Bombyx mori: one gene and its partner. The main gene of each other region encodes a partner of the protein of the gene in region 2 in a complex. Links are inferred from orthologs where the notes say so. Each region holds a gene or a part of one and is shown on either strand. Other genes may lie near its edges.

The links.
Region 1: the proteins of transcription elongation regulator 1 (region 2) and serine/threonine-protein kinase polo are in contact, whole or in part, in a crystal structure (PDB 3Q1I), measured with the Homo sapiens proteins. The link is inferred for Bombyx mori from reciprocal best matches to the Homo sapiens genes TCERG1 and PLK1. Residues at the interface, in NP_006697.2 of Homo sapiens: Pro101, Pro102, Pro103, Met104, Ser105, Ser106, Met107; in NP_005021.2 of Homo sapiens: Lys413, Trp414, Val415, Asp416, Tyr485, His489, Leu490, Leu491, Arg516, Phe534, Phe535, His538, Lys540.

What each region holds. Positions count from the first base shown.
Region 1 is NC_085121.1:12,624,844-12,629,114, reverse strand, and holds the end of serine/threonine-protein kinase polo, read right to left. Parts: intron 4,254-4,271; coding exon of another isoform or gene 4,143-4,253; intron 3,410-4,142; coding exon 3,183-3,409; intron 2,580-3,182; coding exon 2,443-2,579; intron 1,858-2,442; coding exon 1,676-1,857; intron 1,204-1,675; coding exon 1,070-1,203; intron 908-1,069; coding exon 795-907; intron 697-794; coding exon 502-696; downstream 1-501. UniProt on the Homo sapiens protein: Serine/threonine-protein kinase that performs several important functions throughout M phase of the cell cycle, including the regulation of centrosome maturation and spindle assembly, the removal of cohesins from chromosome arms, the inactivation of anaphase-promoting complex/cyclosome (APC/C) inhibitors, and the regulation of mitotic exit and cytokinesis.
Region 2 is NC_085130.1:19,184,637-19,188,463, reverse strand, and holds part of transcription elongation regulator 1, read left to right. Parts: intron 1-2,376; coding exon 2,377-2,575; intron 2,576-2,931; coding exon 2,932-2,999; intron 3,000-3,827. UniProt on the Homo sapiens protein: Transcription factor that binds RNA polymerase II and inhibits the elongation of transcripts from target promoters. Regulates transcription elongation in a TATA box-dependent manner.

The DNA of each region.
Region 1 (4,271 bases), on a different chromosome or scaffold from region 2:
AGTCAGTAAGTTTTGCATCAAATGGAATATAATATGTATTAACAACCAAAGACACATATTTAAAGAATAAAAAAAAAAGTCGAAAGTTTTGCTCATATACTGAATCGGCAAAATAATTTGATGCTAAATCATTAAAAAGTATTTACTAAATAAATAGACAGTATCGGTGGATTTTTAACCTAAGTTTGAAATTTTAGGGTACAAAATTGATTTTAGTGACCCTTCTATTAAATTATAATATACTGGTGACTATCCTAAAAATACAAAAGGTAATATAATTTTTATTTTAGAAAAGTAGGAGACCCTAGGAAATTTAAGTGTAAAGATTTTTTTTATCAAGTACAGACTATCTCAATCAATAAGAACAGAATGATGAAAATTTGTAGTGATTTCAAACTTTTTTGCTATTTACATAAGCAGGGTCTCTTGGTTTACACAGTTCTTCATTGGAGCTTTCCACAAAGCCCACAAATTCATTTACTCATTTAGGTTCAGTGAAAACTAGCACAGTTTGTTTGCCAATACACTGTTTAGTTTTTCCAATGCATATGTGAGGTTTGTGTAAAGCTTTTTATCACAGCCATGCTCTTCAATGGTATTAAAGCGGAATGTTCTGAAATTCTTCTCTATATCTATGTAGGTGACAGCTTGCATAAGTGGACACAGTATTATCTTTGTGTGATCTTGGAAGTTTATCTGTAATATTAGAAAAAAAAAACAATCATGATGAGAAAGAAATATAACAGATCAATAAAAATTATATGCCAACAGCATTAAAATATAATTCTACTAACCTGTAAAGTTCCATTAGTCAGGTACATAATAACAGCTAAAGTTGTTCGAAACCACTGGTGTAAATGTGGCAAACGAGACAGACCATCACTCTCTCGCACTGGTACTGAAGCACCTGGATAATGGTAAATTTATTTAAAAGCGATAACATTGTTGTTAAGTATGAATACATTAGTTACTCATGCCATAAGAAAACTATTGCTCACACATTTTGTTTTCTGAATATTCTATTTGATTTATATGCTTTAGTGATGACAATGGATGTTGAAAAATTTACCAGCTTTCATGAGATGTTCGGTCATGTATCGTCTAAAGTATGTAAGGAGTTTCATTTTTTTGTCGAGTTCTTGCGGGTAATCGCGCATCGTCATGTACTGCTCTTGGCCCTGCCGATTGATGTAGTGCACATTCCTGAAAAAGGATAGTTTATGCAGATCTCCTTTTATTTTTTCAGATAGCAATATGAAGATTTTGTTGCTTGCTAATCTGCACATTACAGTCATAATACAAAACAATTGAGAATCACGCCGCAAGGAATATGCTATTAACATATTATGATGTCTATGGATTCTTATCACTTGTATAAAAAAGTGTATTGCGAATTTTTTTTCTTCAAAATATGTTTAAAGTTTGTGTGAGCTATGATTTGATTCTAATTTTGAGTGTGCAATGCATTCGTTTTATGACATATTATACTTTGATTCTCATTATAAAGATATAAAAAAAAAAACTATTTTAAGCTTTAGTGATTCGAACGTGATTTCGAATTTTAGTGAGTTCGAAACTGTTGCAAGCGCCTGTTGTATACTACTATAATATAATATAATTAAAAATATGTATATCTGATATTATCATCTAATATTTATATTAAACGTAAACTTACAGTCCATTAGCGAGCATGATAAGCTTGGTAGTATCGTTGAACATGACACCGACGCTCTCGTCGCAGAGCTGGTATCCGAATCCGTATTTGTCGCTGTAGTCGACCCACTTGCCAACCCACACCAGCGGCTGTGCTGCGGGATCGCTCAGCTCGTCTGTCAGAGCCTCCGGTCGGCATTTCAGCTAAAAGTTATAGAAAATGCCAACATACAGTCAAACTAGTTGTTTATAATTAAGTTACAAAAGTTCCATAAGATGAAGAGTTTATCAATTTATTTCTACTTATGATAAGGTTATCAGCGTATACCAGTTCATAGCACGGTCCTGCCCTATTTCAAAACTAGAGCCTATTAAATGTTATTTAGACCATAGGTATTTTTTCTCATCTATACATATAAATAAAATTGGAGTGTCTATTTGTAATATTGAAATAACCGCTTTTTACTAAGCGCATAATATGAATATATATACGGTACATATACCAAAATAACATTTTTAACAATTTTTGTCGGTCTGTTTGTTCCGGCTAATCTCTGGAACGGCTAGACCATTTTGACGAGACTTTCACTGATAGGTAGCTGATGATATAAGGAGTAACTTAGGCTACTTTTTTAAGACTAGCTTCGCCCCGCGGCCTCACTCGCGGTACGACAATAACCGCGGGTAACATCGCGAGACTCAGCTATTAATTAATAATAAAATTTAATGTTTCCGAAGCGAAGCGAAGGCGGGTCGCTAGTATTAATATAAAAAAAAACTATATTTTACCTTGTTAACCAACAATGCAGCGAGCTGGTCTCGCAGTGCAATAAAATTCTGGCGGTGCGACGTTGGTTCCACAGCTCGTGGCCCCGCGGGGGTAGCTTCGCGTTTGACGGGCGAGTCCACTGCCATCGTCTCTTGTTCTATTCAATTGAAAGTACGTATTATAAATGTCAATTCATTTATGTTGAATTTTAAAGTAGCTAATTATAAAAGGAGAAAAATGCTGCTTTTTTGATTCTATGAAGATTTTGATGTGCATAAGTGCTCCTTAATGAATCTTCTATCTATCTATCTATATATATAAAAATGAATTGCTGTTCGTTAGTCTCGCTAAAACTCGAGAACGGCTTGACCGATTTGGCTAATTTTGGTCTAGAATTATTTGTGGAAGTCCAGAGAAGGTTTAAATATGAAAATGCTCAGAATTGAATAAAAATAACAATTTTGTTTTTCTTTGATGTGTACCCCGTCAAACGGATTCCTTTTGTTTGTTTTAAGTTTATTTTATGCAAAAGTTTAGGTCTTTTTTTTATTTATCGATTGAGGCACTACGAAGTCTGTCGGGTCATTAATAAAGATCCGCGCATATCCGACATATTCTTTAGTGTTCATCGTAACTGCGATGATATTTTACCATTTAAAACTATAATTTCTTTAATTATTATTGAACTCTCCCTCATCAATTTATGAGGGAGAAAGTCTCGAAGTCTAGCCTGCGATTAAATAAATTACAATATATGCACCGTTAGCATGAACTTCGTTAAGAGGGCGGCGGTGTACCAGCATGCCCTCGAGCTGGTCAGTGCGCGGCGCTGTGGTGAGGCAAGAGACGGGCAGCCCGGCTGGCAAAATCCCCGATGAGAAGAATTCATGCTGCAGAAGTTTGTCCACGGACGGACGACGCGCAGGGTTCGATTGCAACTGCAGTACAATCATGGACGCCGCCGGTTTGCGAAGCGACGACGGAATCCTGAAGATATATTTGATTGTTCGAGATCGACAAACGTGAAGACCAAGGGAATTGTTATATTAGAAGGCCAGAAGAACAGTAGTCATAGAGCTATACCAACAGGGATGTCAATTTTATAACACTAGGCCTGCACCAGACTACAACACGAATGATCACATTGTAGTCTGGTGCCTGGCTCTGGTTGACAATCGAGTGAAGTGTTGGCTCTAGTGACCAAATTTCTCAGTTAATAACAAAAAGTTACTTTAACTCTTAGAATTAGGAACTCTATATACAAATAGTATTATTTTCCTAATTCAGTTTCAACATATTATATAGTATAGTAAGTAGTACATAGTTTGTTTTATAATATTGCGTTATTAATAATTCCTAGTAATAATTTTAAACTTAGTGCTGTTTTAAATTTTAATGATTGAGATTGAAATACATTTAGATTCGAAATTAGAAACATTTTTTACATTACTAAGACTAAGTATGACTTGTGTTGTAAGTTAAGCAGACGTTAGAAATATCCACAATACATAAAGCTGCACATCATGATCACCCTTCACCCTAGTTTGATGGTGCAAAAGTCAAAATATGGCACTAATGTTTGCCAAATAGTTTATAGAATCAAAGGAATTTGGTTGGATATTTTGAAGTCATTTTAAAAGGAAGAATAAGCGTTAAGTAATTTTATGTTGACAAATATATATTATAAAGTGCCATATTTCTCTAGCACCCCATGATGCACCTGTATTGTAGTTTGAGGGTGTTATCGTCGATTAACGTTCGCGCGTAGCGACTACGTAAATGGTTCCAAGGGCCCCCGAGACAAACGCGCATCGCTACCTCTACTGCCTCACTGGTTGGAACAATAACA
Region 2 (3,827 bases):
TTGTCTGTTTTATATATCTCTATATTTATATATATATATTATCATTACTATTGACAAATGATTTTTATAGCGACGCGAGCGGATGTGGGTCGCGACGGTGCCCGCGGCGCGCCTAGTTAGTGTGAGGTTTAGTAGTCCCGGTAGAGGGCGCGCGGGCAGGTCGCGGACACAGCCGCTCCGTGCGGCGGCGGCGGGTCGGTAGCTCGCACTTACCTCCCGAGGCGACGTCGCTTCCGAAGTCCCGCTTCTAACAGACGGTCGTATTACAGGACAGGCCAGGAACGTAACGGAACTAAACAATGTTAGATAAATGTATCGTCAAACGATGACGCCTTACCGACGAGCCTCCCTAAGGTTAGAAAATATTTTAAGAAGAACAATTAGCGCCGAGCGGCGGCGCGCCCGACTCCAAGAACCACTCGCTTGTAATTAATTGTCCGTGAAATCATTCATTTAATGTCTTTGTCTTTTTATTTAGAAGATCACCAGATGATTTCTACAAGTAAAGTTACAAATGGGTTTTTCTTTAATTTGGACCGAGAAATCTTTTTTAATTATATAAAATCTCCTTCCCCTCTATAGTGTGGTTGAGCATGATCTCGGTTGCCAGTGTAACTTGGGAACCTACCGGGATGGTAGAATTATTTAAACAAGGAAAGTGGTGACGGGTTACCAATTATAAATTATTTTTTTTTGGAACCACAGTAGTTATCTTGTCTAATCATACTTAATAGATATTACTAATCACGATTTTTACTTTTCAGCTTATTTTAAACAGTCCATCGAGAAGTTAAATAATATTAATTACTAAGATTCTGTAAATTTTTGAGATTTAATGACATATTATGATGTAGTGTTACCGACCTGTTGTCCAGCAGTGGGACTCTTCTTGTGGACCAAATAGCTTCTTTTTGGACTTGAACATTATTTTATAAGATATAATATATATTTTGAATTAAAAGTAGAGTCCCTTCAGGACATCATTGTTCTTAAATGTTTAAAGAAAATTGAAAGATACAGAAAGAATAAATTATTAAGAATAGTTAATAATAATTAGAAAGAAGAACAGTAAATTATTTAAATTGTAAAATCGTTGAAAGAGTACTATAATTATAATACAACAATGAAGTAAGTTTTGCAGAGTTCGTTAAAGAAAAGTAATGAATATTAAATGAAGGGATGGTCCGTATGAGCGAGCACGGGGGCCGTCAGGGCCCATAGACAACGCGCATGTTGTCCCCCCGCCCAGCCCCCCACTTATCAACATGTCATCTTATAGGGGGGTCAAGCGGGGGGACAGGCTATCGACCTCAAAGTGTACTGTCAGTACTGGCTCCACCCTGCCTGTGCGTCACAGCAGACAAATGAACATATCTGTGAAACTGATTTCATTAGTGATGCAGGGGGGCGAGAGGGGGGCGTCCCCTCCGTCCGCACCGACGCCACCTAATAACGTTTTCTTGCAGGTTCTAATGACATATTGTACATTGCAGGTTCCATAATGTTTATCTTTACATTTTCAGCTTCTAACCCTAATGATGAGTTCTCTTGCAGGCGGTTGCTCGTATCGTTTATAAGCGACGTTTGCTCGCGGCTGGCGGGGGGCGGGGGGCGGGGGGCCCGGACTGCTATGCGAATTGTTGAACCCACCCCCTCCTTATACCAACTCTCCCTCTTGTTTATTTGTACAATCATGTTTCGTTTTGAACTATAAGAAATTGTTTGAAATTAGTTTATGACATTTCGAGATAAACTTATAGTAATACGCACGCTAGACCCCGCCGCGCCCAGAGGTCGACTCAGGACCCGTGTTTTAATGTTGAGCATTTAAAGTTACAGGCGATCTAATATAATGTTTCGATATATAAGTATGCGAACGAATTAAATGTAATACAACATTAAAACAAAAAAGTAGATAGTCAATAAAATTGATATTTAATATTGAGCTCCCGACCGGACCCCACGAGGGGGGGGCAGCTCCCGTATCAAAAGGTATTCTCAATATCACCTAGAACAAACCAAGGAGAATATAGATGAACTGAGAACCTCTACCTTTTATTGAAATCTTTTAAAAATTGACGTCCAAAGCCGGGATCCGTCGCCGCCCGGCCACCGCCACTTGGAACTGGTCTGTCTTATTCAATTTGTATAATCTCTTTAGATAAATATGGCTATATTGAAACTTGTGAAAAATATCATTTGAATTGTCCCACTTCGGCGTAAATAAATAAATAATTAAAATGTGCCTGTCCCCCCTCCGCGCCCCGGCCTCCGCCCCCGCCCCGGCCTCCGCCCCCGCCCGCCCCCCAGCCCCGACCCTCGTCTCCCCCACGCGCCGACCGCCGCCCGCTGCTGACCGATCTCTTTCCGTTATAGGCTAAACTGGAATTCATAGCGCTGCTCAAAGAGAAGTCGGTGGACCGCCACGCCAGGTGGGTCGATGTCAAGAAGAAGCTGGACTCGGAGGCGCGGTACAAGGCCGTGGAGACCAGCGGCCTGCGCGAGGACTACTTCCGGGAGTACTGCAAGCTCGTCAAGGAGGAGAGGAAGAAAGAAAAGGACGGGAAAGACAAGGGTCAGTACAGCTACACGGGGACCACTAGGGGGATCGCCCCGACACGCCGCCCCCCCTTGCGTTTACTGGCGATAGGACCTTTTGTGAGTCCGCGCGGGTAGGTACCACCGCCCTGCCTATTTCTGCCGTGAAGCAGTAATGCGTTTCGGTTTGAAGGGTGGGGCAGCCGTTATAATTATACTGAGACCTTAGAACTTTTACCTCAAGGTGGGTGGCGGCATTTACGTTGTAGATGTCTATGGGCTCCGGTAACCACTTAACACCAGATGGGCTGTGAGCTCGTTCACCCATCTAAGCAATAAAAAATGCTTTGTTGTAAAGTAATTGCGATACTAAACGTCTGTTTAATTCATCAGGTGTTAGTAAGAAAGAGAAAAAAGACAAAGAACGCGATAAGGAGAAGAAGAAGAAAGAGAAGGGAGAGGTGAGTCGTACGCGTGCGTATGTGTCCCATCCGAGTTGTGACTTGTAGAAACACTCGGAACTAAATCAGTGCTAGAGTCTGTCCGGCTCTTAATTACGCGCTGGATGCTGTGTCTCAATTTGCATCTTTATGTTGTACTGATTTACTATCCGGTATCCGGCCGGATAGTGACAACATGGCCGGATACCTGATAATTATCGTTTATTCGTTTCATCTCTAATGATAATTAGATGTCATGATGTTAATCGTATTGTGCGATCACTCTCCGCGCACTGACACTCTTGTTGTCCCACCGGGGGTCCGCGCCCCCTCGTGCTGAAGCGAATGTGTAATCTTGCCGTCTATATATCGACCTGCGTCGGACACGCTCCCTATACGGTTTCTTTGTTGTTGATGTGTTGTGCGCGCGAGCGGCGGGGGACCATCAGAACGAAAACATAAAAAGGTAAGAAGAACTGGCGTTTGTTTGTCTGCACACGAGCGGCCCGCGGTCCTGGCTTGTGTCGCGGCACGAGCCAGGATCGTGGTGTTTCTCTAATTATTAGTTACCGGGAGAGGTTTCGGGCTCTATAGTGTTATTCGTTTCGAAATTAAAAGTAACCCATTTATATTTCTTAATCGAAGACAACTCTATAAATGTAGCTAATTAGTGTCCTCAAACGAAATGTGAGTGAGTGAGTTAGTGTGTGTCTCAGTGAGTGAGTTAGTGTGTGTCTCAGTGAGTGAGTTAGTGTGTGTGTCAGTGAGTTAGTTAGTGTGTGTGTCAGTGAGTTAGTTAGTGTGTGTCTCAGTGAGTGAGTTAGTGTGTGTCAGTGAGTTGTTAGTGTG